4 linked regions of the Lepisosteus oculatus genome follow. The protein of the gene in region 3 interacts with the protein of the main gene of each other region in a pairwise test. Links are inferred from orthologs where the notes say so. Each region holds a gene or a part of one and is shown on either strand. Other genes may lie near its edges.

Region 1 (8,356 bases), on a different chromosome or scaffold from region 3:
CGGGGCAGAAATGGCGCATGTTAATAATTGCTTTAATCATATTATCCTTCATATAAATATTGAGTCACGTATTCTAGCACACATGAAGTGTTGCAATTACATTTAGAAAATGAACCAGAAGAGACGGAGTGCATGTCCCCACACCATGTTTTTCAAAGATCGAAAAACGTTTTTTTTTGTTCCGTAACACGAGGAAGGAGAAGGAAAATTGGCCTCACAATAGGGGGAGATTTGTAGCAGTGCGAAAAAGGAAATGTTTCTGTCAGTATGCCATCGAAATGCTGCCCAGTAGAAGTGTACTTTTAAATATTTCCAATGCCTCACATGCACACATTTTTCATTGTTCTTTCTCCACGGACAGCAGTAATTTAAGTTTAATTACTGTTATTGTAGTACAGGTCTTCTGTCGAAGGTGACTAAGGATTGCTCGGCCACAGACCTCCCCTAAACCATAAACAACACTGGTAATGTAGCTGCTATTGTCATGTTGGACGGTGGGCTCCATTTAACTCGCTGCTGTCTGTTTCCCCAGGGCCAGAAGGAACAGAACCCTTCGCTGTCACCCCAAACGTCACTGCAGGGCAGAGCTAAGACATACAGTCCTCATTGTTCACAGACATCTTTCTTCGCACAGAATGGCATTTTTAAAGACTAAGCAAACACTGGTTGTTATGTACCTCCAGAACAATTAATTAAATGCCACAGCACCGTCACACAGAGTCAAATGACACAACCTGTTTTTGGTGGCACAGAGAGGTGACATGTCTGCCTGCAAATCTTCATTAGAGTGTATGGATTACTGTCATATCAAGCTATAGTACAGTTCCACAACAAACCAAGGAAAATAAGACTAACCCATTTAGAAAAATCTCAGGAATAGTATTAACCACAGTCACTTCACCATGTCACATTCATGAGCTAGATACTGGCTCAGGGGTCTATCAGACTTCATCCAAGGTGTGATCTTGCCTTGCGGCCTATGCTGTCTGAAATGAAGCTCCTTGCTCACTGCACCCCTGTCAGGCTAAAGAGGGGATCCTCCTGAAAGGCATAACCAGTTAAGACTTTGGTGGATGCTGCACATTGGTGGTGGTGGAGGGGAGACCCCATTACCTGTAAAGTGCTTTGAGTGGAGTGTCCAGAAAACCGCTATATAAGTATAAGCAATTATTAATATTAATTATTATTATTAATTAAGACACCTGTCTAAACCCCCATTTCTTCATCTCCAGGACCTACAACCTGATGACAACAGGAAATCTGTTGACAACATTCTATCCACATTTTAAGACAAGACTGTGCTATACAACCAAATCATTTTGTTCTGTTATTTTATATTCATTATACAATTCATTATTCATTACAGAGAGGTAGTTGATTAAGAAAGGTATAATTTACTTTAGTATTTTCAATGGCAGGGTATTATTTACTTTACAGATCAGTCATATTGTAATTTTGGAATGTATTTATTATTCACCTGAATAGATTCCATTTATTTTTTGACACCATCAAATGCATGGATACAACTGTGAATGTTAGACACTCTCATGTTTCGGCACTAACAGCCCTCTGCTGTTTATTTATTCTCCTTCTCTGGTTTCATCATGACATCCAGCTGTCACTCTTGAATTCCATTAGCTGTCCCTGCATTTAAGATTAGACTATGCCAACAATACCCATTTTATATTGGCTGCTTCTCTTAATTACTGCTTTGCTTATTGATTCATTTGCAGTGGCCACTTGATCCGTTGTGATCCTGAGCCTCAGCTGGCAGGCTCAGGACACAGGGCAGGCCCACACCCTGGATGGGATACCAGTCTATCACAGGGCACACTCGCATACAAGGGGCAGTTTAGAGAATCCAATTAACCTGATTGGCATGTCTTTCGTGACCTGAGAAAACCCACTCAGTTTCCCCAAGACTCAATGTTAACTACCATTCCACTCTTCCTCCTTTGTGTATCATTTGTTGCATTTGATACAGCCTCAGTTTATTTATAACTAAAATCTGAGTGTCATTTTTCAGTCTGTCGCTACAAATTGCACTGCAGAGAATGGTCAATATGGCCCAGAAGATCATCGGCTGCGGTCTCACCGAGATAAAACAGCTCTATGAGGAGCGCTGCCGTGGTAGAATTCTGGCCATCACAGAGGACAGTCACCACCCCGGGCATGAGCTCTTCACCCCACTGCCCTCAGGCAAGAGATATAAGAGCATACGGACACTTACCACTAGATTCTTCAATAGCTTCTATCCACAAGCAGTGAGACTGGCGAACGCATTTAGCCATCCCCCTCGGACCACACCTACACCATCACCATCTACCTCTTTATGATTTCTTATCTATTGCACATCTCCAGTCATTGTTTTCACGTCTGTATTGTTTACATTCAAACTGTCTACATGTTTACTTGCACATTGTCTATTGTTTGTTTGTACATTGTCTTGATGCACTGTTTGCACTTTGTTTTGTTTTTTACACTTGTTTTACAATCGAGAGACTTTCTGTAAGTAAGAATTCCATTGTACCAGTACCGGTTACATATGGCAATAAAGTTCAAGTTCAAGTTCAAAGTTCAAGATATGTTATATTGCCTTTTCTTCTGCTGTGTTTAGTAGGAATGTCTGATCGGCTTCCAGAGAGATTTACAGATGAGCAGTTTTCATGAAAAAGGTGAGATTGAGAAGATCATCCATTCCTTGATCACTCGAAGAAGTATGTCAGGTTCCAACAGGGGTACAGTAGCCCAAATCCCAAATGGCTGAGAAACTCCTTTACCAAAAGTTTCAATTGAATGACTGCTACAGAACTTTTCTCATTGAAAATCTCTCAGTAACTTGAGAGATTGACAGAAATTCTAGCCCAAGGTGCTTTTTCATCTTGACTAATAAACAAATTAAACAACTGTTTTTTTATTTCTGTTCAGAGAGCTGTGTCTTCTGAAGCAGCTGCTACCGGATGTAGATCAATATCACTTACAGATTCACCATCAGACTGGAAGGATGCTAAACAGCAGTGAGCTGGGAACCTGATACAGCCATTCCTTTCTCATGTATTGTATTTAAAACAGTTTGCTTTCTCATACAGTGCTCAAAGGCCATTCTCTGAGATGAAGTGTGACTGGGGACAGTGGAACCTGACATTCATTGCTTCTCAGACAGAACAGTCAGTGGAGTTAGAGCCCTCTTCTCTGCATCAGGTCTGCGGCAGAACTTTTGTTCATTCAGATTGTTCTTGTATATAAGGAGTCATTAGTCCTATGTCTTCTTTTCAGGGGATTTACAGGTTCAGATCAAAATATTTAAGTGCAATATTTTTCCAAAGCGTTAAATCTAATTGAATGCAGCATCGACTATGTTTCAGGATCATATTACTTTTCCTCTTATTGAATAAATTCCTTAAGCATGTATACTTATCACTAAAGCACCTTAAAACGCATGTACAGTACTACAAATACAGGGCATGACCAAAAATCCTCGATTAGCAAGAATAACCCTCCTACAAAACTGAAACTGAGTTTGCCACAATTTGTGTACTACATTTTACATTGTGATACAAGTACTTTTCCATTGTGGCTTCATTTAAAAAAAAGACACACTTGGTACTGTGGAGCAAATTTTATGTCAATTAGACATGTTCCTCTTATAAGTTCATTATGGCCTCAGACCTACAGTATGTGCTTAAGTTACGGTGGCTGACACAGTACTCCTGTCACGTCAATTATTAATGCCCTAAACTTTCTGATGGTCTGGAGTCCCAGAGCTGTAGCCTCACAGCCGCAGAGCCCTCAGAAAGAAGAGAGACGCATCTTGCTACAGACACCTAAAAATGTCCAAGCGAAGATGGGTGGAATTAAAGATCAGCCAGACTATCAGCTGTACAACCCCAGTGGTCCGGAGACAGAGGCCACCTTCTCCTGCAGGTACGTAGTCTATTTATTGTATAAACCTCAGGAATTGTGAAATGTCCCCCCAGTGCATTTAAACAAAGGTCGCATCAGGTGTTTAGCTTTGCATTTTATTGTCTTAGCTTTTTTGTCCATATTGCTTGGTGATTGCTTGGAGGGTATGATACTAAGTGTTTGGCTACATTAGAATCGCACAAGATATAAAAAAGTATTGAAAACTGAGGTTGCAATACTAATACAATTAGACGTTTTAACGGAGTTGAGGGCCTTATCGAGACAGTAATTTGATCCATCAGCAGTCTGCTTGCCAGCCACAGGTGTCTATTCATTTAAAATGTGCTTCCAAGAATTATGTTTTTTTTAATGAATTATCGGTTCATTGAAGTTATAATATTGCAACATTGCCCAACATCACCATACAAGAATACTGCATTTCATTGTACAGCACAGTATTGCATTGCATTACATCTTTACTCCCAATAAATCATATAACACATTAGTATAATAGGAAAAATAATTAAATGTTGTTACTGAAAATACTTCATTTCGTATTTAACTTTATTTACAGTAAATAACCACCAAATCAAACAAAGAATAATAAAGAGCTGTCGTTCACAGAAATATTGATTAGACCATATTTAGAGCAAATTTATACATCTTAGAAGTGATACCAAAGTTTAACCGACTCGGAAGCCTGCTCACCGAAATATAGCCGAAGCACATACCGCACGCCCAAGTGAATGATCTCAACTTTTAATTTTCATCTTTTTACAAAACGCAAATTCCTTACCTGCTGCCACCTTAAACTAAACCCCTCCTCGAGTTATTTTTTTTTTTTCCTGGAGGCGTGAATCGCAAGCAGGCACCTTCAGGAACGTCATCACCAGCGGTCCCTGTGTTTACGTGGTATTGAATATGGCGGCCGAGGCGAGCCAGTAACGGAGAGTCCTCTACACGTTTTTTGCACAGTGTATTTGCTAGGAGCTGCAGAAGAAGCCTTACATGCCAGTACGTGGTCAGTTCGTTAGACCGGCTCTGACCCTTTTAACTGACACTTTGTGTGAAGCCTTAATCTCCTCTTCCTGGGCCCAGGAACGACCGTAATGGAAGACGAAGAGAGACAGAAGAAGCTGGAGGCCGGCAAAGCGAAGGTATGACATCTGAGGGAATGCGCTATTGTGAGGACAGTGTGCTCAGAAATGATTTCGTGTCGTTAGGCCGGCTAGTTGTTTTCAGTTGTAACACTGCGCAGTGTAACCGGCAGTAATTTAGTAACTATTTCATTGATCTACTGTAGCTACAGCTCAGGCCCCGTATTGCTGCAGTGTATCTGTCAGCTGTCCTTAACACTGCAACTCCGACTGACAGCTTCACTTTTGCCTTGGTTGTCTTTGTTGTAGTGAAGCTTTGAAAAGTGGCGTGTAAGTTTCACGTACGCTTGCTGTCGGGGAAAACGCGGATTGTGTGTCGGACTGATCATGACATGACTGGACTGTCTTGGATCGGTTTAAAAAAAAAAGACAATCCCGAGATTCCTGCTGAACAAGATTTGTGAGAAGCATGCCTTCACATCGTTGAACTTGTCATCGCTGTAAGATACGGCACTGAATGGCTCTACATCACATTGGTTACTGCGTTTCTTCAATCAGCAGGATTCAGTGAGTTAGCACATTATAATTAAGACAAAGTGCTTAGGTTTTCACTGTTTTTTTAACGCTCATTTATATTTTTCTATAAATAATTACGTTGACCTATCAATGATAAAATAGTGTAATAATGTATATCCGCACTGTTGATGTTACTGTTCATTTTATTTTTATATGTACAGTAGTTTGTAATACAAGTTGCTGCACCCGAAACACACTGTAGCTGAAATCTTGTTATTAAATGAAATAAGCAAAACGTTCCAGAAATCAGAAGTCTGCACAGGTGAGAATATATCGGCCCATTTTATTAACAGTGCTCTTGAAAAGGCTGGGGTTTCATGCAACAGTGAAATGTTTCTGCCCAAGTTCATATGTGTGTGTGAGGGTGATGACAAAGATACAGCAGTTTAAAAATAGACCAGACCCTTATCCCGTGGCACCTAAAAATACAGTATGAGCAGGGCAGAAGAGTGCAAGTGTTACGTAGGCTCATTCTGGTCATATTATCTCTTCAATGGGATCACTTTTAGTTTCTGTGGGCATGGCCTTTGCAAACTCATAATTGTTGTCTCCTTTACAATTTTGTCTGACGAATGAGAATACAGTAGGTTTTAGGTCCTCCCCCTGAATTTATTTCCTTTGTAGTAAAGGTTCTTATCAGTAGTAGGAGACTAACATTTTCACTCATTTATTAAAAGCCTCACCCGGATGCACTCTGTTCACCTTGTAAGATGAAATTCAGTGTGAAATCATCTGATATATGTTGTGTCCGAGAGCCTAAATCCTTGTGAAAACCAATTTGCTTCTCCCGATGTTGTGTTAGTGAGTCGCTGACAGCAGTGTCTCGTCAGGAGTATGAACCCACAACCTTCCAGTTATGCTGCGCTCTGCCCCGCAGTGAAACAGCCATGCATCAGCAGGGGAACATCCTTCTGCTAGGTTTACAGTGTTAATGTGTCCAGAGTGTCACTGGACTTTATTGGTGATTTTACTATATGCTGTTAGTTCCCAGCTAACGCATAGGGTTGTTAATACTTTAGTGCTATGCAAGCAGCTTTTATATTAGGCTTGACGATTTTGGGTATCTTTTGGAAACATGTTCTGTTCAAGACAAAAGACATTGCTGATAATTTGGGTTTATTATTAAAACCAAAAGCCTTTTTGGGTAGTACTTTGATATTCAGGAAGTGATTATATACAGTAAATGACATTTTGGCTTCCTGACATAGTGCCTACTGTATACCCAAAATCATGTATAACTAGAGCATCTCCCTAAGACCCCACTGTTCCCCTCCCTGCAACCAATTGCAGGTGTATTTGTATGTGTATGTATGTAGCTTAAGGTATTATGAAAACAGTAATACAGTCAATACATTACTGTACAGTATACAAAATAGATCAAATAAAATTTGATATTTAAATGCAGGGAACATAGCGGACGAAAAGTCTTCTGCCTCTCATTGCAAGAATTGAAGCTTCATTCTTGCCATACTTACGCCCCAAACAGGTCACCATCGTCCCACCCCTAAACTTGTTCAAAATCTCAATTTGCTGGAGCCTCAGTATCTACTTGGCCACGCCACACCACACCACACCACACATGTCACACCAGATGTGAATTTGCTAAATTCCCTGCATTATTTGATTTTCCATTCATTTTTTTCATCTCCCACCACGTAAATACGAATTCGGGTAAAAATATTTAGCATAAAAGGCGAGTCTGTTGTATTTTTGTTTCGAAGCAGCCATATCACTCTGCAACTTAAAACTGACAGCCCCACTGAAGCTCAGCAGTGTGAGCCTGGTCAGTACCTGGATGGGAGACCTCCTGGAAAAAACTAAGGTTGCTGCTGGAAGAGGTGTTAGTGGAGCCAGCAGGGGGCGCTCACCCTGCGGTCCATGTGGGTCCTTATGCCCCAGTATAGTGACAGGGGACACTATACTGTTAACAGGCGCTGTCCTTCAGATGAGACGTAAAACCGAGGTCCTGACTCTCTTTGGTCATTAAAAATCCCAGGGTGTTTCTTGAAAAGGGTAGGGGTGTAACCCCTGTGTCCTGGCCAAATTTCCCATTGGCCCTTCCCAATCATGGCCTCCCAATAATCCCCAGCTATGAATTAGCTCCATTACTCTGCTCTCCTCCCCACTGATAGCTGATGTGTGGGGAGCGTTCTGGTGCACTATGGCTGCCGTCGCATCATCCAGGTGGGGCTGCACACTGGTGGTGGCGGAGGGGGGTCCCCATTACCTGTAAAGCGCTTTGAGTGGAGTGTCCAGAAAAGAGCTATATAAGTGTAAGCAATTATTATTATGATTATAAAGTCCTGAATGGTTTTTCCAGTTTCCCAAAACCTTCAGGCAGGTCTAACTGATATATACAGTAAGCTTATCTTGAACACAAGAGAGCCCTGTATGTTGCAGTGTGAAGTGGGCCATCCCATGTCTATTTGGGAGAACAAGGGTATTGAGTGTTCAAGGCAGGGAACAGATTCATTCCACTCTCGGAGTTGTGAGCTCGATCCGCAGGTCTGAGCCTGAAGTGTGCTTGACTACCGACATCATCTCCTAAATGTTTGGTGTCTCTTAAAAAGAACAATGTACAGTATGTGGTGTGTGCACATACTGTAGGCTCCATTAAAACTCAGGTGTGAGTCACCTAAGGTGCGATGACTGGATTTGAATAAATTGAACGCCACTGTAGGCCAAGAATTAGAGTGACCCTAAAGTTAGTTAACTGCTTTATGAAATGTTTTGGGCCTGCTGTAACTAAGCAGATCGAATTAAAGCTGCATGCTTTTGCA
Region 2 (7,573 bases), on a different chromosome or scaffold from region 3:
GATTGAATGATTCCTGTGTTGTGTTTCAGACACAAATACTGCTGCAGAAAGCTTATCAACTCATTTGCTGGTCAATGTTGTCTTCTTTATAATAACAAGTATTTTATAGTGTCTTAGAAAAGTAATCACCTCAAAGCAATTATTCCGGCAAGAAAAATACAGACCACATACTGTAAGGCTCAACCAAGCATTCCTGTACAAAGAAACATTCAATCACTGACCTGGTTAAAAAGAAATATTTGATCCACACCTCTGTCACATAAATCTTTTTTTTTTCAGAAAACATAACTATGTTCTTTGTTTATTTTCACTAATGTTTTTTTATCTCCAACAATCACTCCTATAATGAAAGAGTAATCACAACTTACCCTTTATCGGTTGTCATTTTTGGCTTATTCATTTTGCTTCGTTTCACTTCATCATTTTAAAGGCCCTGCAAATCAATAATAATAAAAAATACAAGTAATAGGTTTATTCCATGCTGAAAAAAAAGAAGAAAGAGAACACAACGTTTCGGCCGTGGAGCCTTCTTCATAAAAAATAGTATATTACTGGGCAGTAGTATAATGGACAGTGCTGATAAAGTCATTTTTCTAACTTCCTAACTCAAAAGCAGGTATGTGTATTTTTTATTTAGGATTATACTGCCATGCTGGTGAAACAATCATAATACAAAAAAATCTGTGAAGATACAAGAAATGTTTGAATCTTATAGCATCTTTGCAAAAAGCATAAAAGGTTTAGATCATTGCTGAGGTCAACTGACTGCTGAGTACTTGCTCAACTACTATGCTGAGCAAATTTGCAGCTACATTTACAAACACTTGCTCAAAAGCAAATAATTTTGACTTAATTATGATTAAGTTCTTCCAAATTTGTGGATACCTTGAACGTTCTGTGTAGTCTGAGATCAAACCAAAAACTTGAGTGGCCAGAAATCACAATAGAAGAACAGATAATACCAAAATAACTCTTAACTGGGCAGCAGCCATTCATTATGTCTTTCCATTCATTTTCTTATTGCTTTAGCCAATACAGGGTCATACGTGATCCAGCAAACAACAGGCATAAGGCAGGATACACCCTGGACTGGGCTAGTCCATCGCAGGGCACACACTCAAGGGCCAGTGTTCCCAGAAACCAATTAACCTTACAATGTCTTTGGACTATGGGACTGAAAGTAGATCACCACACAAACTCAAAGACTACATACAAGCTCCATGCCAATGGCACCTCAGGTCTGGAACTGAACCCAGGGCTCCAGAGCTGAAAGGTAGCAATCCTATCCACTACACTCTGCTGCCCCAACATGTATCAAATAATAACAAGTCAATATTATAAATAATACCACCATAAAGATGTACTTTTAAAGCCCTCTTTTAAAGTACTGTGTATGGTTAAAAAAGTTATATGTTAGCGTAATGCACACAACGGTAACTCTCCTGGGGATCTGAAAAGTGTCAGGCTATTGTAACAACTTAAAATTTGTGCTGTGCACTTCTATTTCTGAACCTCCTCTTCAACAAATATATTGAAGGCTGGTGCTTGATAAAACAAGCTGTGAGGAATCTGCAGCTGATGTGTTCAACACATACTGTAGCTATTGAACTGACCTTGAATCACCAGGGCTCTTTCTTTTACCAAGTTGCAGTACATTGACAATAATAAGAGATAACGAATAAAAAGCATGAAAGAACATGCTTTAGTTTGGAATCAAAATACTAGGTAACAGCTGAACTGGAGATTTAGAAATTTAATAAAGTTCTCAATGTTGGGTACATCCATAAATCCTGTATTATAACTGGCTTAAACTCTATTCACAACCTACTTACAATACTTACAATTAAAAGAAAATGGAGAAAGACGTTATGAATGCATTCAAAGCTTTTCTCAACAACATGGAGCTTTTTCTTACTAATTTTCAGCGTGAAATTAACCTCATACCTACAAATATATGTGGATGATACATAAATGCATTTTTATTTGGTGGAGGTTACAACTGTCTTTAAGATTTAACAAAAGTTCGCCGAAATCTCTGATGTTAACTAGTAATACTGTACATTGTCAATGCCAAAGGTATTTAAATTAAGAAAAAACGAAGTTCCAAATTTCAGAAACGTCCTGAATAGCAAATGCAATCATCTTCACCGAGTCATATCAAAAGAACACTTAACAAAGCGGGGATAATTTAATAAATGCCAATCTGATCAACGCCATTGTTCAAGTTCACGAAACATTGTGAATTTGGATCTGTAGTGTTCTACATGAAAATTTAAAACGCAAAGAAGGAAAGTCTTACAGTTAAGAAGCAGATTAGTTCACCTTATGGAGATTCCCACACTTATACAAGAATGATAAATCCTTATATGGAATTTTGGTGTTTATTAGCTTGAATTTAAACTTAATTGTGGTTCTATCACATGCCTTTTCTTAATTGCCCAAGTTAAAACATGTATCTACATTTATCGCATTAACACAATGTTCCCATTATTGCAAACTTGAAAATGAAGCGACTCATTTAGCAGTCTAAAATGGAAGAAAAATAAAAGTATCTCATACGACAGGTGTCATGGCAGCTACGAAAGCCAATATAAAATACATCGAACAATCAATAAATCGTCCATATATAGGAAATAGCTCTTCATCGTCCTTAATTTTCTTACAATACATGATTGCACAAAATCAAATATATAATACACATCTTATGCATGTACAGTACATGTGGCAGACGTGACCTGACATGCCATGTAATTAGTGAGCAACAGTCTGTGGCATGCTATATATGTTCACCCCGTAACTATAACAACTTGCAGCGAGTTAATGCAACATCATGCTGTGTGCAGCTTCCCTGCAAGCGGGCCTGACACCTGCAACGACTGTCAGCCTTCTGCTGCTAGTGCTGTAGTGTTTGAGACAAAACTGGAATAGCACACATTCTATTGCACCTGCTGAATGCCAACATGCTCTTTCAAAATAGCTTGCACTCCAGAGACAAATTCATATTTTAAGGGCATTTAAACAATACAAACCGATCGCTGAGGCAAGCGATGTCCCATACGGGGAAGTCAGCTCTTCAGTACGAGCTAAGAGACGCCCAAATGTTTTGATACAAACAGCATCCGATTCCCAGAACCATTGCTGTCAATACTTGTTAAATCTCGCGAGAATGCAGAGGACTAAGGGATTGGTAGTTTTGAACGATTTTTTGGCGAGGAAAAATGACGTTGCAGAGTACGTGCTTATGGGGACTGAAGTTTATAATCAGCACCAATTAGCTGTCGTTGTTCATTTGGGATTGGTATGGGTACAACATTTCCCAGAATGCAATTCGGTGTTTCATGCCAAGGAAACAGTTTGTATGGCCTTTTATTTGAATTCTTTCAGACAACGTTTTAATCAGCTTTTAATCAGGTATGATAGAACTGGAGGCGTTAGTGCATTTGTAATTACGTAATGCAGTTTGCTGCGCTTTGTAATGTTTTTTTATGTTTCAGTACGGACTTAAAAAATCCTTCAGTATAGAATTAAAACTATTAAAATTATCTCAGGCCTTACTGTAACAGAAATCGTGCTTCTGTTTGAATATGATGTTAAAATATATTACAAAGTTGCGATTTTAAATATAATTAAAATGAATGTCTTACTTAAGGTTCACTTTTTGGCTTGGTTTAGTGTGATTTTGTGGATATATTTTATTTCGTCAGTGATATATTGTACCTAAAGCTTAAGTATGTTGTTGCAGACACCTGTGCAAATTAGATATAAAAGAAATTAATGAACGAACTTTTTAAGTGGCCAACCTTTTTCTGATGTACTTTGATTTTTGTACGTACATATGCAAGTCATTTTCGATTTTGTTCACATAAGAGCAAAAATGCATGATGTGTTCTTATAAACTCCTTGTCATAATACGTGTCCTTTGTGTTTTATGAGGGCATATTAACAGACATTACGACTTTTATAGTTTAGATCGTTTTTTTAGAGACAAGGTTACCTATACAAGCAAAAATATTCAATATTGAAATTTTTTGTTGCGTTTGACTGAAGTCAGACAGGTACAGAAGCGCAGTGGTTAATACTGACTGGAAACATCCAGAAATACGTATGGCACCTTGTAACTGAGACGTTTTACTGAAAATACTATTTTTGACAATTATATTTTTCTGTGTTTGCTGACCGCTTGTTAATTCTAGCAAGTGGTCTTACTGATGTGAGATAAAGATGCCAGTCATTATGTTTGCACCTCTTTAGTCTGTTGAAATCAGTAGTCAGCTATGTTGTATGTTATTCTAAACTGAAAACTGCACTTGTACTATTAGTCAGCCGTACTGTGTTCTGTTATGCGCTGTATCAAAATGTACAGGTGATGTGTTAGGGCCTATTTATTTTCAAGGGATTCAGGAAATAAATCTGTTTGTTTCCATTATAATTCCCTAATACTGTAAAAACGGAGATTTAGTTTAATTGCCCCAAGAATAAAGCAAAATACAGTATATCTGGTCAGAAGAACTAAAAAAAAAATTCCCTTTGTGCTAGAGAGTACATTGAATCGCCTTTCTGTGATTGCTTGACTTGTGTATTCTGCATGAAGGCCTTACTAAGTTCTATATATTTTGTCAATTGAAAGCTCTGACATACAGCTTAAGAAATAGATTTTTGTCCCCGAAATCTATAATAATTTACTTTTTCAACAATTATTAGATGCAAAAATGAAATGATGTATTTATCACACCACACGCTGAATTCTTGACACAATCTGGTAATCCTCTGAAAACTGTAAAGTCTCTTAGAGTCTCAAGAAAGGAAACTATTGGCATGTCTAAAACCCATGCCATCTAATGTACACAATTAACATAATGAGGCCTTATTTGCAGTTTCAGATCTCTGTTGACATTTGTGTTGATCAAATATGTCACGTGTTTTTTTACCAATTTTTTCCTTAATATCCGTATTCATACAACTCATTAAGTCTTTTTATTGTAGAAATGGTTTTCTACATTCAGCGGCTCTGTGCTTTTTCTTAACAGAATTGTACTGGTTAATTTTTGCAGTGTATGTTTCTTGCATCTCTCCCATTTTTGTGTCTAATGGTCTCTGTAATAAAATTGTATGGACAGAAATGAATATCTAGATTAGGTACTCTAGCCTTTACCTGAGATTTGTCCGAGTAATGTTCTTTCCTTTGTGGATAACTGCAGGTGAATAACAGTTGATATTCTGACACATTGTGTAAAAGTTTTAAAGCAAGGCTATCACTAACTTTATGCCGGTTTATCACAGCTTCACATTACAAAATTATTTCCTGTTTTGCAACAGGAATATGGAAATTAATTTTGTTGAAAATTGAGGCTGGGGACCTGTTTGCAAAGCTACAGTATATCCAAGTATGTGCATACAGTATGTCATTAATGGTACCATAATGACAGTGTACATTAGTGTACAAATAGGTAGCTGTGTCAGCATGTGTAGGCTGCAAAGGAACAGATGAAGGTTTATTCCATGGTGAAAAGAAAAGAGACACAGTGTTTCGGCTTTGGAGCCTTCTTCAGGTGTCACCTTTACCTGTTCCTTAGTGTACATGTTTATCTACAATAGTTGCTTACAACCTCCATCCGGGTGCAACCACCTACACAAGTTATCCATTAGACCAGGTGCTGGAGCAATAAGTAGGCTACAGGATAATGACGTATGTGTATGTATAGTAAATGGATTATTAGTTCAGGTGGGTAGCTGCATCAGCATGAGTAGGCTGTAAAGGAATAATAGGTTTATTCCATGCTGAAAAGAGAAGAATGAAAACGCAACATTTTGGCTGTGTTTTCTTCTTTTTTTCATCATGGAATAAACCTGTTACTTGTATATGGATTTTAACTTTTTCATAAAGTTGTTTTCTTTATAGGTAAATAATGCAGATAGAGATTAACAGAGATTCTGAACCTACACATTTAAATAAACATACACTTCATTGAATCACTTTTCTTGCATAAGTTAAAAAAGTAATCTTTTTCTAAGTAACATTTAAATAGATACCCTTTATTGTCAGACAGTGTAACTGATGATTTAGCTTTTTTGTTCCAGAATTCTTTTGTTTAACGTTCTGGGGGAAAAAAAGGTTTCAAATATCATACTGCTGCTGGTTGTATGTATTTAATAATATTTGGGATCAGGGTGTTCCTTTTACACCCCCACAGTGCTTTCAATTCTTATTTTATCTCCGACAGTTCTTTTCATGTTCATCTACTGAAAGGATTTTTTTTTGTTCTTCCTGGTAATTCATTCAAAATAAGACAAAAATACTTCTTGGCTCTGGTTTACTATACAGTACTTTTATGAATTAGCCAGCCTGTCTTTCTTATAATTTAAAAAAAAAAGGTGAAGCTGTGAAAGAGCTTTGTTGGAGCAGATCCCAATTAAGGCATCTGTTTGTTAATCTGTCTGAAGCTGTTGTCATGGTAATGAAGTCATCTGTTGAGGATGATGATGCTGGCTGGGGGCTTGGAATTCCAGAGAAGATGAAGAATAACGCAAACTGGGTGGATATCACCCTGGACTTCAAAGGGGCTTGTAAAGGTAAAGCATAACTGCGGCCTAATTTTTTAAAAAATATATTATTGATTGCATAATCAGTAAAAAAAAATGTATATAAAGTAGTTTTTTTATTACAGTGTTGTGTGCTTCTTTCCTGGAGCCACCTGTTCCCCCTGCCCCTCATCCTTGCAAGTTTGCTTATATTACAGTGTCTTATAGTGAAGCTAAAATAGATTTGCCAGTTCAAAATCTGACTTGTTCTATATACTGTATGTTGCATGTCATGTTTAACCATAGCAAATTTTAGGGAATCTTGATGTACAGCATCTTATTTAGGGTAAATCATTTTCCTTGAAAAGGCATAGACTTCATTGTGTTTTCCAGTTTTTACAACCAGATTTTAAAACTGCCTTTTAAATCAAGTTATTTGTTGTGTGGCAGAAAGTCCAGTTGTTTCTAAGTAGGGAGGTCAAGAAGTATGAATCCTGAGATCCCTTCCCATTTGTGTATGTTTTTTTTTTTATGCAGAACTGAAGCTTGGAGAACTGCTCCATGACAAACTGTGAGTACAAAGAACTGACCTGCATGGCTTCTTGTGCACCTGGTTTATCACATCCCTTGTTCTGGCAGATGCTTGAATGTTGAATGTACATCTAATTTTCCAAAAATGCAGAATTTGAAGAGTAATTACTTTCCAGCAATATGTTATGTTTTTTCCATACTGAGGGCTGAGTTGCAGGATTGAGCTTTGAGGTTCTTTCAGTATGCATTTCCTTTTTTCAGGTGCATGCTGTTAACTGAGTAATAACAGAGTTAATAGAGAAATGTGTTGCTAAGCTGATGGCTGCTGGTTTGACATTCTTTTCTTTCTCTTTTTGGTCAATTAAATTAATTAATTCTGAAATGTATGTTTTGGTATGTTTGTCACCTTTTGTGTTCCAGTGTTTTTCAATCTAGTAATACCACAGATGGCTCCAAATCTCAAAGCTTCTTCTTCCACCTTCATTACGGTTCCTGAGCAAAATGGAATATAATCAATCAAGCT
Region 3 (8,695 bases):
TTTAGATTTATGGATATCTAGCAAGAAAAGGTTAGACCTGTGTTCTACACATAATAGGAACATTGACGTCTAGCGCTCCATCCTCAAAGCCACATCTATCAGTCCAGTATATGTGCAGTATTATGATATTGGGGAATATTTACACGGAGAAACAAATAAGTGGAACCACAACAATAGGAACAAGAAATGAATGACTTTTACTTTGTCAAACTTTCCCTCCTTAAAGCATTTTTTACTGTTTAATTTGGCAAATACTCTATAAATCAGCTAAAAAAGCATGAAATCCATACCACAGTGTTAAAGTACAAGAAAATCATCTTACACCCTTAATAGGCTTGGGTATGAAATCTCATGGGAGAGACATATGAACAGCTAGCCATCTGTATAATTCAAAGACAGTTTTTCATATCACAGCTAATTGGCTAATTACAACTCTTAATAGCGTGCTTCATTTTCCATAAAAGGCAAGACTTGTATTTCCAATGATATATTATTTGGATTGCGTTTCTGAAAAGGCCTCCAAGTATCAGAGTAAAGTCATTAATGGTTATCAGTGTTATCTGTTTTTACAATGTATCCCTGGTCTATTTTGCCGTGGAGCAAAGTTTTATTGAACCCTACCAGTTACACCTCCCTATTGCTGTGGGAATATAAAACATATACTGTTCATGGTATAGGTGCAGTGCCAATAGACAATAACTGAGTGCCATTTGCAGTGAAGCTATAACAGATAAGAAGCAAAAAAATCTACAACATTTGTACAAGTGCACACAGGCAGCTATTGCATCCAGCCATTATCTCCTGTAGAGCATCTTAATTATCCTAAACAACTCAACACACATCACTGGTCCTGTTTTTTGTTTTTATTTTAAAAAAGGTTTCCTACATTTCCCATACCAAAGTGAGTTCAGACCTGTAGCACTATTACAAATGAAGACTTTGTGAAACAAATATTCTGCAGCAATCAAAAGTGAATTTTTTGCTTGTGCAGAGGTATCACATATGTACAGTAGCTCACATGGTGTAGAAATACATTGTTACATACAGTACTACACACAGGAGGACTGCCTTCTTGAATAACAGAAAACACACTTATGCAAGTTACAGTCAATTACATCTTCATTCGTGTATATGTAGGACACGTGACTGCTAAATGATTTGCCTATTATAAATAACTATTCTGTTGCCTGGATTTTAGGCTGTATGGTTCAAGTAGAACTCAACATTCAAAATGTAGTCCATCTCTGCAAAGCTGCTAATAGACATTCCAATACCAAAATACATAACATTGTTGAAACTCTACATTCCGGGTAATCTTAAATATATGTATTTGATTATGAACCATGAAATTAAGGGAAACGTCTAAATCATAAATGGAAAAAATATGTTTTCAGTGAGTAAGCATTGTAGGTAATACGGATGAATCTATCAGCATTTTACAGAGAATTAAAAAACTCGTAAAAATTAAAATGGGAGGCAATATCCCACAATATGTTATATATCTCAAAGATATGTCCCATGTCTTTATGTGCCCTTAAATTAAATTAACAGAAATGCTGCAGGATTAACATTGTTAAGATGATCTGTTTTAGCACTGCTTATAATGATGATATTATGCATAAATTAACTTAAGGCACTAACGAATCAAAACCACATTAAAGCAGGTAAGGTTACATCGCATAATAACTCATTTTGAAAATGAGCACTCCACAGGATTTAGTTGGACACGTTCAACTTGACACAAATGGTGACAATAAGGTAACAAATACACCTTGCGATAGGCAAAAACAGAAGCTAGCAGCAAAGCCCACAGCGTTACCATACAGTATATTAATAGAAAAATTGAGACAAAAGAATCGCCACCAAACATCTAGCATTGTGCACAAACCGAGCCATATTCAGTTATCATTTTCGCTCTAATGCTGGCAGCATGAAGCTGGGTATTAAACTGAAAAACGCTCCATACCGTGAAATGCTAAAAACATCGTACAGTACATGAAGATATACTGTATATGTTTGCTTGGCAAACAAATATGGTATATTAGGTGATCCGCTGTAAAACTGAGAGGCTCTAAACTACATCTCATGCCGCGATTATTGGGTGGTAAACATTTTATATTTTCCCTTCGTAAAGGCATTATAATTTGACATCACCACAAATCACAATTGTGACATTATAAAAAAAGGTGGGATTTTCTTGTCTTTTATTAGCCGTGGTTTTCTGTTAAATGTTCTGCAGTGTTACAGCAAATAAAAACCCCGGATTACATAAGAATTTTGGATTTTTAGTCTATGTCCACTCTGTCTAGAATTCAGAAAATTGTTTTAAAAAGGATTTTCACAACTCTCCGTGATCCGCTTGAATGTACTGCACTTGACTGATTTTTTTTTGTAATGTCTGTCAAATAGGGCTATATAGGGAGAAAACACAAGCACAGCATTTCTGGGGTGTGTGTTTCTTTATGTGGACGAGTACAATCCAGCAGCCTGAAAACCCTATTGTATAAAAGGTACTCAGCAGCATTTAAATATTAATTCAGCGAGAAATATGTTTCATTTTACTCCAAGCTCGTACTACATTAAAAGCAAAGGTGCAATTGTGATAAATTGTGAGGACATCGTCGCCCGTTACATCAGTTCAAGTTGGTGTCATCTCTGGCTGTGCGTATTATTCACAAGAGCTTGATCAGGTGCAAAGCGTTCTCATCAGCCCCATTTTCTTCGCCGTCTCGATAGCAAAAAATTCACTGACAATTAACATCCAATACTTATACAAACTTACCCTCAAAGCTGAAAGGTCTATTTCATCCAAGCTTCTGGCTGGAGAATCGCTCGCCATGTTTATTTCACTAATGAAATTAAACAAGAAAGATAAATGAAAGGAGACAAAATCCTTTCTGTGCGGTGTCCTGCTAAGTTTGTGGCAAACGCAAGGTCCCGACCGTTTTCCTTAAAAAAATAAAAAATGTAAAATAAAAATCCCTGCTGATATCAGGAAATACGGATAATATGTACAAGCAGCACAGTGCTAGAGGTGATACCTTGATGTATGTAATGAGGACATGCTTAGCACCGTATACACGGCGTCCACACGAACCGTAAGCTACAACAAAACAGAGCGAACGCACAGATAGCAGATCTGCAAAATACTGTCAATCAGAGGCTTCCCGGGAGTGGTCAGAGAGAAGGGGCGGTCGGATTGTTTCCAGCCGCCCATTCTTTCCTTCTGAGCGAGTATTTTCAAAGCAGGGCACTGTTTTAACAAGCAAGATTTTCTGATAACAGGTAACTGCAGAGCTGCAAGCATACAATAACGATACAGTCCGGGATGCTTTTAAATATCATTAACTGATCCGTCAGGGTCTAACTCCTTTCTATATGCCGCTGATGTGCTAACTAAAAGACTGAATTGAGCGCTAAAATATTTCAGTTGGACTGTAAACCGCACCGCCTTAATGAAACGGTTCTTGCATTCAAACATAGTCTTAAATTGAAAGCAAAAACTCCACTTACCTTACCTGTCTTATTTAAGCAATTAGGTATCAACTGTGCCATTCATTTCCAATCCTAATACAATAAATTGTATATGGCCAATAAAGTGATCTTACATACGACCTGACGCATATACTTTTCACCACGAGCTCATTGGAGCCACACTTAAAGCACTTTTCATTGAAACGTTGAGTAGATAGGCTTGTTGATTGTTTGAGAAATGTTGCTCCTTGGGATACGAAAATACTGACCACAAGTCATTTGATTTAATTAAAACACTGGATCCTCAGTGGTTCGTGTGACTTTACTATGCATTTGTATAATTAGGCATTCAAAAAAGCAACAGTTTATGCAGTGTAAAAACCATGAAAGATGTGATCAGAACCCTCTTGGAAGTTATGAAGTTGTCCTGGTTGCTACAGTATGTACATGATTGAAAGCCACCAATCTGTGAGAGACGTTGCCTGGAGAATGAGATATATCAGCATATTAGTCCAGACAAATCAGGAAACTGGCTGTGTGAGGGACAGACCACATCATGGAAAGCAGAGGGTGATTGCTCTGTGCAATACGTTTCAGACTGCACTGAATACACTTTTAGAAATTCTAGGAATAAATAACCCGAGCATCAGCAGCATGACTCTTATTGTCTGTCTTACAGTAGCATGTTAATGGTAATAGCCAAGTCCTGTGGTTCTTAAAACATCTGGGGTGGAAGAGATGGAGTGCTGGAATGTTTTATTAACTAAGGAAAGCCATTTTCATATCCTTGACAGACCTGATGGAAGGACTTGAGAATTACACAGACTGTTGGTCTTTTCAATACTTATAATACTGAATAATTCTTTACCTTTATATAGCACATTTCTGGATACTCCACTCAAAGAGCTTTACAGGTAATCCCTTCCACTACAATGTGTAGCACACACCTTGATAATGCAATGTGTGCAGTGTGCAAGTACACTCGCCACACATAAGTGGGGTGGAGAAGTTTAAGCCAACTGTTCAAGCCGACAGCGACCAATCAACCTTTACTAGGTGACTACAAGCCCACAGCAGTCTGTCCAGAGGCTGATCAGGTCTGCATGTCAACAGATTGTGTCAAAACTCAAACCCAGTACTCACTTCATAATTTTATTTTCACATTGATGGGGTTTTGTGTTACATGTCAAACACATATCATGATTCTTTTATAGTATTTTTGTTCATATTCTATTATTTTAGAATTGAATATGAATATTTTAGAGTTGAGATTCATGCTTAAAATATCGAATTACTGTACATCCTTTAGACCTGAGTGTAGTGTTTCTTTTACGTGTCGGTATATGATTATTATTGTTGTTAGTTAGCTATAAAGAGATCTACTGAACCTTTAATGTGTTTCATTTTTTTTCTCCCTGTATCTTTGCAGCCTGTGTACTGTTATGCTCAATAAGTTTAGAATGCATGCTTTGTCTTGTTTTTTCATTGAACTTGAATTTCAAGCAATGCTAGGCACACACATTTGTGGAAGCTGGCTTGTTTCCCCGAATGTCTCACTTTGTGGCTGTCTGTGCTTCTGCTTGTTTGTATTCCTTAAAAATGTTGAGGGTGTGTACCTCTCAGTAAAACCTATTGTGTTAAAAGCATTCTCGCACCCTTGTAAATGTTTATCATAGTGAATTTATCACTTTTATTTTGACTCTTGTGCTGTGGTTATAGACATTATACTGTATATTCTTTGCACTCTCAGTATGGTTTCTTATGACTTTACTGTGCCATTGTACTTTAAAACACTGGTCTAAGAGAAAAAACATCCGTAAAAAGGTTTATTATTGTATGTTAAAATATTACCATGTCCCAGTCTAGTAAATTTCAGAAAAGACATGACAAAATTATAGCATATAGTGAAAAGAAAATCATGATAAAGTCACCATGCTTTAGTTTTATAGGTGAATCTTCACAGTGGTTAATGTATTTCCTGTCTTGCTGCCGTGTGACAAGTGTTGATTTTGAAAGACAACTGTTATCATTGTGCTTATGCAAAAAGAACATTTAAAAACGCCTTAAATAGCGCTTTTCAGTTCACTATTGAAATAGCCATGACAAACGTTCTTTAAGTGCTGTTCTTTTCCAACTCGAAATGCAATACAAAATGACATTTAAAGGTAATACAATTATTATTCTATATATTCTTGTACTACATTTGAACTCTCTCATGACAAAAATGATATTATAAAAACAGTACTATGTTGAATATTACCAAAGATACTATTGAAAATACCATTACTGGTTTGTACTTGTGCAGATATGGATGATCTCATTAATTAAACAAAATGAATATTGCAAACCACTCCAGAAGTTTTGATGGTACACTAGTGTTAATACATGATTGAAAAGGCCTATGCCACAAAATGGCTGAAATCAGAAAAGCATTCTCTAAGCCTTTTTTGCCATTCAGATCCCATGAAGAAATACATTATCCAGTCAGTCTGAAACAAAAGAAACAGTGTTCATTTGAAATTTTACACTTCTGCATCATCCTGGAATTTCTGTTTCTTACTTTAGATTTCTTTTTCTGCCTGCCGCTGCATAAAAAGTAGCATTTGCCCAGGAGCCTTGCTATGCTACAATAAGTTAAATAATTGTTGTTTTTAAAAAGTGCATCGAGGGAGATCATTCCTCAAACTATTTCACAAAACAGACCCATCGTTCAGCAGCGCTTGTACATTTTATCTTTTAAAACATCCCATTGTTTCATCATCTAGCTGCAGCAGACTGGCTAGGTACAACTTTAGTTTCCTTTCCCTCTTTAGCAATGGAATTGACCACTTGGAAATATTGTGCCCAAATGGACTCCTGTTCAAAACTGGATTTTTAAAGTGGCAAACATATGTGTTCTCCTTTATGTCCCATATCTTTGTGCTTCCACTGAAAACTTTTTTTTTACTGAGGCATATTTTTGGTATGATCATTGAAGTGATTTGAATGGACTAGTTATAAGCCATCTGTTTCTGTACTCAGGTTCCCCTCTTTTCTCTTTCCTGCTTTACCAGTTATGTCAATAAAAAGAAATGTGTATCCTGCCCAGCTGCTATACACACTCAAGATGATCTGAGGTATTTAAAAGACACCTATCCCACACGAATTTCAGGCACCAGGTAAGGGTGCCTTTTAAATAAATCCAAAGATTTATTACATTCAAACAACCATTATCTTCTTGTAGGTTGCCACAGCCGAAACATTGCCACGCTCTCTCGTTACTTTCAGTGTGGAGCTGACTTTTACAGATGGCACCGTCTGCTAGTACTGTACAGTATGTACAGTATACATTAAGTATTTGTAGCATTTTTACCCATGTGATTAGCTGAGGCTATAGTGATATTTCATTTTAATAGGCCGACACAGATATTCCATTTCAGCAATTGGTAAGCAGTTTTTTGCTCTAATAGATTTGTTTTAAGTGAGTTTATGAATGTCACACTATTATTGTTGCAGGGTAAGTACCTTGCCCCAAAAGCCAAGAAGAGGAAGTAAGGGAAAGAAAAAGAATTGACTCAAACATTTGCCGGTTCTGAGGACACAGGCCTGCGGCCCTAGACTGGATTAAATGACTCACAATTGAACTGGGGTAGAGATCACCCTTGAATGCCATATTACACCACCAAGTTAGTTTCTCAGAAAAAAAAACAAATGAATCAGCAAAATGTAAATTGCTTTTAGGATTGTTTTCCTAGAAAATCACATTTTCTAGTCTGTTCCATGTATTTTAATTCATAGACTGTTTTGGGATCTGTCTCATTTTCCATTCCTTCTTGGAATACAATTTGAGTTTTCTTCACCTGGATGAATGCCACCTTGTTACTAAACTACAGTAAACAAACATATTGCTAAGATCTCCATGATTTTATCCTGTAGTTCCAGGTTTAGCACCCAAGAATTTGTTGCATGATTTTAAACCTTTCCTCTATGTCACCACATGTACTGAATCGAAATTTCCCCCAAAAAATATTTTTTGAATAATTACACATTACTGAATAATGGAATAACATGGACATAATGTTTAGCTTTCATGAATGTTTATTTCCTTATGAAGTGATTGCATTTTCTACTGGGTTTTGAGACAGGCCCATTTAGTATGTGCATTGACAAATGTGTTTACTGTTTTAGATAGAAAACTGCTTTTCTACAATTTTGATTTATTGCGTAGGTTTTCCTCACTCTTTAGTAACCTCCTGTTTTACAGATTTGGAGTCACCAGATATTTGTCTGTTTATAACCCTGCACTGTAACCCTTTAGTTAATAAACTCACCTCACGGCTACAGCATTCATGTCAGCAGCACCAGAATGAGGACCAATAAGACCTCGTTTGATCCAAACTTGACAGAATCATTCCCCTGTAATAGCATAGGTGAGAAGGGTGCTGAGGATCTCTGACAACCCAGCAAGTTCTCAGGCAACTGACACATCACGGAAAGGAGCTGCTTTTCCATAGTAAGACAAGGACACCCTAGATACTGTAGTTTCAGCTTACAAAACCCCTGTAGCACCTACAGTAGCAAGCTCAGGAAATCCCAGTCACAGTTGTTTAAAGACCTCAAAGTCAAATCAGCAATATATGGACTACACAGTTTAACCAGTTCTCTGAAGTGCCTATAAAGTTGAGCCACTTAAACACCTCAACTACTCCCCTTAATCATGAAAGCAAACCAAGATTCTAAAACTGGAAACTGCACACTGACAGCTTCCATATCTTGAGCTGCATACCAGGTTATAAATAGTCAATGTTAGATTTTTAGTAGTCACCAAGGCCTTTTCAGAAAGGCTTTGGTTCTCTTCACTAAATGACTGTGTGATGGAAGGTATCTAATTTGTTCTTCTAATCACCACTCCTGATCATCATTTCTGTCAATCAACGCATCACAAACACAGTCTGCCAGAATACTCAGTCAGCCTTCAAAGAAATGGTCAATGGCTATGCCATGGAAGCACAACACAGGACAAGTAAAAGAGGTGACTGGCCAATCATCATGGTCATTTTTGTAAGCTGAATAATGGTATCCCTCTGTCTTCCCACTGTAAATACCCCATCTTCCATGGCATTTGAAATGGAGCTTTGTTCTCCCTACTCAGACATTTAAAATGACAGCTTACAAGTACACGGTTCAGTGGCTGAAGTGATTTATCCCAGCTTTGGCTGCAAATTGCAAAGCATTACAAACT
Region 4 (8,123 bases), on a different chromosome or scaffold from region 3:
TAATGCTGATAAAACATAGGAAGACCCACTTCTGTTATGATGCATAAACTGCTTATCGTCCTCCTGGAGAAAACAATTAGCCTATTGTTTTTAAACATGCATGATACATCAAAACATGTAGCCAGATACTAAAGAATATACAGTAGGTGAAGCCTTGCAATGATAATTAGATAATGAAGACAAATTATACAACCTATGACTTTATCTTTCATATATGTTGCATATCAGCACTAATCTGAAATACAACAAAGTGAAAATGAACATGATTTTTTTTTTTACAGCTGTGACAAGCATCTTTCAAGGTCACTTCAAAATCAATCGCTGCATTAACTCCTTACGTGAAGTGGGAGACAAAATACTACTATTTACATATAAAAACAGTGAAATATGTTTAATACAATCATTTTAACCACAAGTATCACTGCTTAAAAAACAGAAGTATGAAGCTGTATGAAGTATGCTAACTATGAAGTATGGCAACATACTCAAACAGCTTACTTTCCAAAGCTGTTTATAATTTCCGATTTCTGCCCATCTGCACACCATGTTGTGAAATTGTTCCTCGTTTTTTAAATTTAGGAGAAATAAGTGCCCATGCTGTCTAAATTGTTGCAAGCAAAAATTTTCACTTATATACTTGGTACAGTATACAGAAAAAATAAAATATCCGGACTTCTGTTTATTAAAGGAATGATGAAGTCTTCTAAAGTCCTTTGTTTTTTATATGCACAACTTTAATTAACATTCTAAGGCTCCTTGTGCATGGTACCGCAATAACAGATCCGTGGCCAAACCTGACAACTGCTGTAGTTGATAGGCCGAGCTGTGTAATAACCCTTAGGGTGCACAATGCCCATTACGCATGGTTGTCATTTCTCATGAGTCGACTGCCACTGACAGCAGTAAAGCAAGAGTGAATGGTGTTCTCAATCTCAATGGTGATAGATGTCCTCGCTGGTGCTAGGCTTCTATAGCGGTCTGTGACTTCCTGACAGACACCTGCTTTCGAGAAGAATGCTGTCCTGTGGGTTTTATAAGTGACTATAGGAGACTACAGATTACTCTAGCTCGGCCTGGATTATCTTTTCCTTTCTTTTGAATATGCCATACCAGTCGAGTCTGTAATTGGAATGAGTTTCTATTGGAATGAGTTACTGAAATCAGTGTTCAAAAGTGTTCTTACCCACAAACTCTCTCCTCTCTAGTCCTTCCCTTAAACTTAATGGAACACAGTTCTTATTGCAGTCTTTATTGTCAAGTGAACACAGCTTTGAGAACTGTTCACTATCAGGGAATCAATTGTGAGATATTCTAAACCTTATCTGTATTTTAAAAGCAATTCTCCATTTATGCTTAGAAAGGCTTTGCCCGGTGCATCAGCCAAGTGGTTCAATATACCACCAGTATCCCAGATGTTACTGTACATTTCAGTCAATGTTCCAAGATTGTTCATGCTGTTGTTTTCACAATGGAGTTTATGTGTGTGCAAAGACGTTTCCACTAGTCTAACACTCGTTTGTGTGTGTGTGTGTAAGGGTGGGTGGTGGTGGGGGGGGTATTTAGTTTCTATTTCATTCCGCCTTTCTCGAAAGCCACTACAAAGGCTTTAAAGCGTAAACAAAGGCAAACAATTGAAGGAGCTCCCCCTCCAATTCCACCCATCTGGCTGCTTTCGGAGCCTCGCGCAGAAATGGACCGGCATTTCAAGCATCAGTCTACCCAGCAACAAAGCCGCGAGATGCTATTCACGGAGATGATAGAAAAACACGAACATTCAGCACACTTCCACGGAAGTAGATACGAGGGGAAAAAATAACTCCCAAATTTACCATGACTTCGTAGAGTACCCTAAAACCCAGTTGTGAAATATGAATTTAAACACGTACTGACTCATGCATGCGTCACACTACTTGAGGGGGCATGTCTGCCACTTTATTATGACTGTTAATTATTAATATTATGAAGGATTGTTACTACTGTTAATAATGGTCAACGTGATGGTATTCTTTTAGATGTACATCCAGAACGACCTCAAAGAGAAATGCTTAGTCTATCATATGACATGCACGATAATATAGTTATTCAAGAAGTGATTTAAAGCCAGTTATCTAATACAACCTGGAATATACAGTAACAACTGCCTAAAAATATTACGCAAGATCACGAGCGATATTCACCTTGTAACCCAATGGCAGTGTCAACATAAATCAAGACACAGAATACATGAAGGAGGCCCATCGACCAAAATATTCAACCTTTCAGATAACATGAAACTGTCAAAATGATACAAGGACGTGTCTCAATAGGAATGACTCTCTAGCCAACCTTGTTTTACTGCTCTCCGCTGCAATGCAGCGCAAAGTCACACCAACGGCAGATGTGCGTTTCATATCCACCGGCAAGTTTTTTTTATTAGGCTTTCCAGAAAGGGAATGACACTAGAGTCCAATTTTAATATTGAAATAATAAACAAACAGTGAATGGGAAAGTTGCAATGCAAAGATACAACATGAGAATTACTATGTCCGTCAAATAATGTTTTAGAAAAATACCGACCTTTCACTTGTGTTTCGTATTCCGTTGTGATCTCCTTGTCCTTCTTGAATTTGTTTTGAGAAGACATGGTTCTGGAAGTATGAAGCATACGATGCCCTACGATGTCCTGGCTCGGTCGACTTCAGTTGGAAAAATTCAGCTTCACAGTATTGAGATTGTCCTGTTTTCAGTTAACACCCCCGAGAAGCGCAAAACCTTGCTGTGTTCTGCACCCCTCGAAAGACAGACTCTTGTTTGCAAAACAGGGTGCTTCAAGTGAAAACTTTAAAGACGTTCACAACTGCTCACCTGTGTTGAAGATTTTAACAGTCTGTATTCTCAAACGTAAAGCACCACCAAGCTACAATGAAAAAAACAACGACTCCTCCTTTCTTGTGATAAACGTGACATCCAAAAACCTTAACTGCAAACCGGGAGAAAGCCGTGTGGATTATATCAACCCAAAACAGAGTCGGGTTGCGAAAAATCCAGTTTTATATGTCCTTCCATTATTGGTTCATTTTCTTGAAGTACAGACTCAAACGAACTGTGTAAGTGCGCAAAACAATCGCCTTGCTTCATTTGAATAAGTCTGTGCACACAGAAGATTTTTTGCTGCAGGGTGAATTGAAGCAGACGTCACCAGACTCCTCCCATCTTTTTTTCTCCTCTATTTTTTATTTTTGTGATCACAGAGTCATTGTAGTCTCAGGGGAACAAGGATATGCTCTGCAATATAGAAAAAAACTATTTCTAAAATATATAATTCAAGTGAAAAATGTTGAAAGGTGAAAAGCACAGAATAAATAAAGAACAATAACTTCCATTTTGTAAAGAGTTAATAGATGAGAGCAGTTCTGCCCTTTTTTCATTCAATCATTATTCAGCGTGAATATAAGAGAAAAAAAATCCTAAAGAGATGCCGTGTATTGGACGGTTAGTGCGTGTATTGTTACTTTAATACATGAAAAGTATTGAGGAATTTATGTTGGTGTTATCTAAAAACCTTCTTGTAACTAATGCAGAAATCATCAAGACTTTGGGTTGAGTGCGGTCTGGTTACTAGGCTCAAATCTAATGACCCGTTTAGGCAAGAACATTTTATTTGACAATATTAAGATGTGTCTTAAGATTTTTCATTCATAAGCACAGAACATAATAGTCACTAATAATCAAAGCATAGTAACTGTAACTCTTATTTTTTGTATCTATTAATTTCCTTTATTGTGAAGGGTTAGAACCCAAAGAAAAATCAAATTATCCGAGTCACAGCAAGCTTAATGCTACATTGAGTTATTTCAGACTTCCATTTCTCACTTTGTTCACATGTAATTCTGTTTGGAACGACTCTAAAAGCATTATATTGATGCTGAGTCTTAATTCCAGCCTGCAAGCAAAAAGTAATAAAAAAAGCTTGTGTACAGTATGAGGTCTGTACATCAATTTTCACATCAAGAGTTCATTGGGGTTATACATTAAAAAAAGACTTGGAACAATGCAATTGTATTTAAAAGGCTAGCAGGAAGAAAGAGGTGTTAATGACAGAACTCTGTCAACAGGAGTATGAAATGTCTTTGAGATACTGTGTGACATTCAAGATGGAGGCATCTTAAGAAAGTCATTACATGACCTGTTTTTCAAGCCCAGTGAGGTGGGACTATTGTTTCATCCTGTTCTGTAAGTTGCATCCTTTGGCAAACAACAAGTCATCTATCCATAATAAAGAGATTTTGTTTTCAATTGTTCAGTTGGTGGCACCGTACACTACATAGCAGTAGTGAAAGTTATGGTTTAATCTTATAAATTACTAGAGTGTTAATTTTTACAAGTACCACAGTGTTAATAATTACGGTTCAGAAAAATGTTACATTTGATTTGAATTGTGTGTATTGCTGTTCAGCCAAAAACACCTTTTGTTGAAGGGGAGAAATATTAAAAAAGAAAATGTCTGCTATGCAGAGCTTGATGACACAATCGCTGTATTCCAGAACTCTCTGTAAAACACCTTTGCCCTGCAGAGACTATTTTTTTTCATGTATTTGTAAAAAAAAACTTGAACTGCAAACTGCAAGAAGTCAGCAGAGAGCAATATCCAAAACTACAGCTTCAGCACCCTGGCTGAGACAGACATTTTTTTAAAAGCTGCTCCTGCAGGTCTTTACTTATAGGCCTGAAAAAGTGCTCCTCAAATGAAGCTCACTTTCCAATGTCTGTCTAGGGATTAAAGATGATAGATCCAAACTACTCTGACCTTCCTCCTGCCAGCATGTGTAATGTTCACTCAAGGACCAAAACGTAGGGAATATTACAGAATATCATTTGGTCCTCTACAAACAACAAAAGCTTGCCACACTATTTTATCCCATTCCCCTAGCAGGGTGACCTTCATTTTTCAGGATTAAGGTGCATGTTCCATAGGCTAGATGAGAGCTCCTAATATTTTGTCCAAGTAATGTAGCTTCAAAGATCTAAGTGATGAAAAGAGAATTTCACAGAAAGGTGTCCATACCATTCTAAAGTGTATATACTAGCTGTAGTGATGTTGAACTAAATAAAAAAAAAGGAATTTCCTACTTGTCATCTAATTTACTATCTTAAGGTATGATGTTTTTGGAGTTTTAGATTTTCATTAGTTTTATTAATTTTTTAGACCTCATTATCAAGGAATGATTAAAAGTATATATAACTATATTATTATTTAAAGGAATTAAATCTCAACAGTGATGATCTTCAGCAAACCATTATGTGTCTGTTTTAAGAGCAAATCAAGTGCAATCTCAGTGGTAACTTTGGGGCTTATTGAATTTGTTGAAAAGTGCTAGGTACAGTAAGTTCATCATACAGATATACGGTAAATACCTACTGTAATTTGTAATGTATAAACATAGAGAAAAAACTATATGTTTATGCATAAAACATAAAACATACTGTACATAAAGCCAACAAGTTGATGGCTTTAAATACCTTGGATCAAAACTGGTAAAGGGAGGAGAAACACTGGAGGCAGTAAAACAAAGAGTGAAAGCTGGATGGAACGAGTAGAGAGAAATAACTGGAATAATCTGTGACAGGAAAATTCCTAGAAAGTTAAAGTGCAAAATGTACAAGACTGTGATTAGACCTGTACTACTATATGGAGCTGAATGCTTGGCAGTTGGAAAGAGGGAAGAGAACCTGATGAGAAGAACTGAAATAAGGATGTTGAGATGGATTCTACAGATTTCAATGAAGGATAAGATCAGAAATGAAGAAATCCGCAGACAATGTGGGGTGGTGGATGTGGTTGAGAAGATGCGAGAGGCGAGGTTACGGTGGTATGGACATATCATGACGAGGGACGTTGAGGAAGTAACAAAGAGGGTAATGGAATTTGAGGTGGAAGGTAACAGAAGAAGAGGCAGGCCTAGAAAGAGATGGATAGATTGTGTGAGAAAATATATGGAGGTATGTGAAGTCAGTGAGTAAGATGTGCTCGACAGAGACAAGTGGAGAGGAGCAACCAAAGCAGCTGACCCCAGGACAGTCTGGGACTAAGGCTGTGAAAAAGAAGAAGAAAAAGAAACATAGAGAAAAAACTGTGATTTTTGAAACTGTAAACAATATTATTCAGTTAAGTCTAGATACATTAAAAACTATTGGTCAGTAAGAATTCTCCAGTGGAATTATGCTCTTTAAGAGCACAGTAAACATTCTCCATATAGTTACCATAGCAACCTAACCACTCCGGTAATGCTAATACACATTACTTCCATGACAGTGGCCCCCTCTGCATCCCTGGAAGCAGATGTAATGTTTGCTTAAAGTAACTAAGCAAGAAAAAAAAATCATCTGCCTGTGCTCATCTGAACATTTGCATTAACAAGTCTGGAGATTGTACACACATTGTGACTGATCAGCCCTCCAGGAACTCAGATGTGAATTTTAAGGTCTGTGTGCACAGCATAAATGTATCTATTTTCCATCAAGCAGATTTCCAAGTGCAGCAGAGACTAAAACTTTAAATCAGCTGCCAGTATAGAGTTCTAAAATCCAAACCCAATCCACACACTCTAAGATTAGTGTTTTGTCCGGACTCAATTCATTTAGTATTTATATTATTTATAAGGATGCATTTAGTCTTATTATAATGCTCGACTGCCTAAGAATGTTAATTTGGAATGGCTGGAACAGAAGAAATGATGCAAAAGCAACATTAACAAAGCCAAGCTAAATATATAAAAAATCAAGAAAAGTCATCGGGGTGGCATTGTTCTTTTGCAGGAACATTTCTAAGGCAAAAATATAATATTGTCCTAGGCAGATATGAACAGTGAAACCATTACAAACATTAAAACAAAACACCTTGACAAGAAATCCCAGAATCACTGTTCATGTTCACCCAGAATCCTGGGTGGCTTTATTTATTGTTCTTTCTGGTAGTGATGCTAGCCATAACATGACCATGTCAACAAGGAACATGTTTGAGCAAATGTGGTTAGAAAAACTAAAGGGGAAAAAAAGGATATCCCTGCTGATAGATACACTTCACAGATTTATGATAGCTACAATTATTTACAGATTGTGTTGGGCAAGATATGTACAGTATAAAGCATTACAATTAGAGGTTACTTGAGGGAGGCATTGCTTTATCATGCAAATTAATACATACATTTTAAAACAAATTTCCCTGAACAAATCCCTGAATGTCTTATTAATTTAAACCGATCATCATGTATACATGTAACTTGTAATTGTCTACTTTTCCCAATACTGTTTATAGGTAAAAAAACAATAAAAAAAAATTGTCAGTGCATATTAAAGGTAAATACCCTCCCCTTCTAAAAGGAACATACCTATATTAACAAAGGTAGAAAACTCTTGCAGTGAATTGATAATGCTCTTAATGCTATCTCCTCATACTGTATATAGGGCCCAAATTCAACATTGTGAAGTAGAGAAAATGCACTCTATGTGTCCAGTGTAGTGTTTGAAGTTATAAAAATATGTTTTTTTTAGATTTTCTTAAATCTGGAGAGTTATCCTCTAAAACCTGTAAATATATATGTTAGTTTTCAGAAATTGAAATGTTCTCCTGCCTTAAGAAATGAGCAAGCCATCCTTACAGTATATCTGTGACATACAGTACACAGTGAGTTATTAACTGAAAAATGTACCACACCCTTCGAGTTACTTTTACTAATGCTCTTTCTAGGAAAATTAATGCCAAACAGAATGATAAATACAATGTGAAATTGTGCAAAGTGGTGTAATGTGAAATTTACTACGACAGGATGATTGTCTGAGGCCTGTGTTAAATTCACATTAAGGTAGTTCTTAACCCTTTAAGATACAGTTGTTTAGAAGAAATAGTCAAGAGGTTTGAGAAAAATTTAAAACAAATAATATTCAAGTTGTAAGTCCAAATCAGATTCATGGATTCTCTTTATGTTATAGACTATAGTACATGCAAATACCAGACATTGCAGGAGAAAAAATGAAAGAATGTTTGTTTCAAAAAGAATAAAGGAAGTACTGTAAAAGCTAAATATTCAATTACAATGTTATGGGAGCTATATAGGTACTCCATGTTTCATGTTGGTTTTTCCTTT

What was found.
Region 1: the proteins of tnika (region 3) and akap9 interact in a two-hybrid assay, tested with the Homo sapiens proteins (2 studies listed by BioGRID and IntAct). The link is inferred for Lepisosteus oculatus from reciprocal best matches to the Homo sapiens genes TNIK and AKAP9.
Region 2: the proteins of tnika (region 3) and agtpbp1 interact in a two-hybrid assay, tested with the Homo sapiens proteins (2 studies listed by BioGRID and IntAct). The link is inferred for Lepisosteus oculatus from reciprocal best matches to the Homo sapiens genes TNIK and AGTPBP1.
Region 4: the proteins of tnika (region 3) and srgap3 interact in a two-hybrid assay, tested with the Homo sapiens proteins (2 studies listed by BioGRID and IntAct). The link is inferred for Lepisosteus oculatus from reciprocal best matches to the Homo sapiens genes TNIK and SRGAP3.

What each region holds. Positions count from the first base shown.
Region 1 is NC_090705.1:5,253,385-5,261,740, reverse strand, and holds the start of akap9 (A-kinase anchor protein 9), read left to right. Parts: upstream 1-4,820; 5' UTR 4,821-5,012; coding exon 5,013-5,060; intron 5,061-8,356. UniProt on the Homo sapiens protein: Scaffolding protein that assembles several protein kinases and phosphatases on the centrosome and Golgi apparatus. Required to maintain the integrity of the Golgi apparatus. Required for microtubule nucleation at the cis-side of the Golgi apparatus.
Region 2 is NC_090698.1:61,943,458-61,951,030, forward strand, and holds the start of agtpbp1 (cytosolic carboxypeptidase 1), read right to left. Parts: upstream 3,143-7,573; 5' UTR 3,030-3,142; intron 434-3,029; 5' UTR 401-433; coding exon 369-400; intron 1-368. Other genes in the region: naa35 (N-alpha-acetyltransferase 35, NatC auxiliary subunit), read left to right, coding at 6,450-6,570, 7,057-7,090. UniProt on the Homo sapiens protein: Metallocarboxypeptidase that mediates protein deglutamylation of tubulin and non-tubulin target proteins.
Region 3 is NC_090708.1:14,164,326-14,173,020, forward strand, and holds the start of tnika (TRAF2 and NCK-interacting protein kinase), read right to left. Parts: upstream 3,125-8,695; 5' UTR 3,065-3,124; coding exon 3,042-3,064; intron 2,850-3,041; coding exon 2,783-2,849; intron 1-2,782. UniProt on the Homo sapiens protein: Serine/threonine kinase that acts as an essential activator of the Wnt signaling pathway. Recruited to promoters of Wnt target genes and required to activate their expression. May act by phosphorylating TCF4/TCF7L2.
Region 4 is NC_090699.1:52,656,793-52,664,915, reverse strand, and holds the start of srgap3 (SLIT-ROBO Rho GTPase-activating protein 3), read right to left. Parts: upstream 3,154-8,123; 5' UTR 2,645-3,153; coding exon 2,557-2,644; intron 1-2,556. UniProt on the Homo sapiens protein: GTPase-activating protein for RAC1 and perhaps Cdc42, but not for RhoA small GTPase. May attenuate RAC1 signaling in neurons.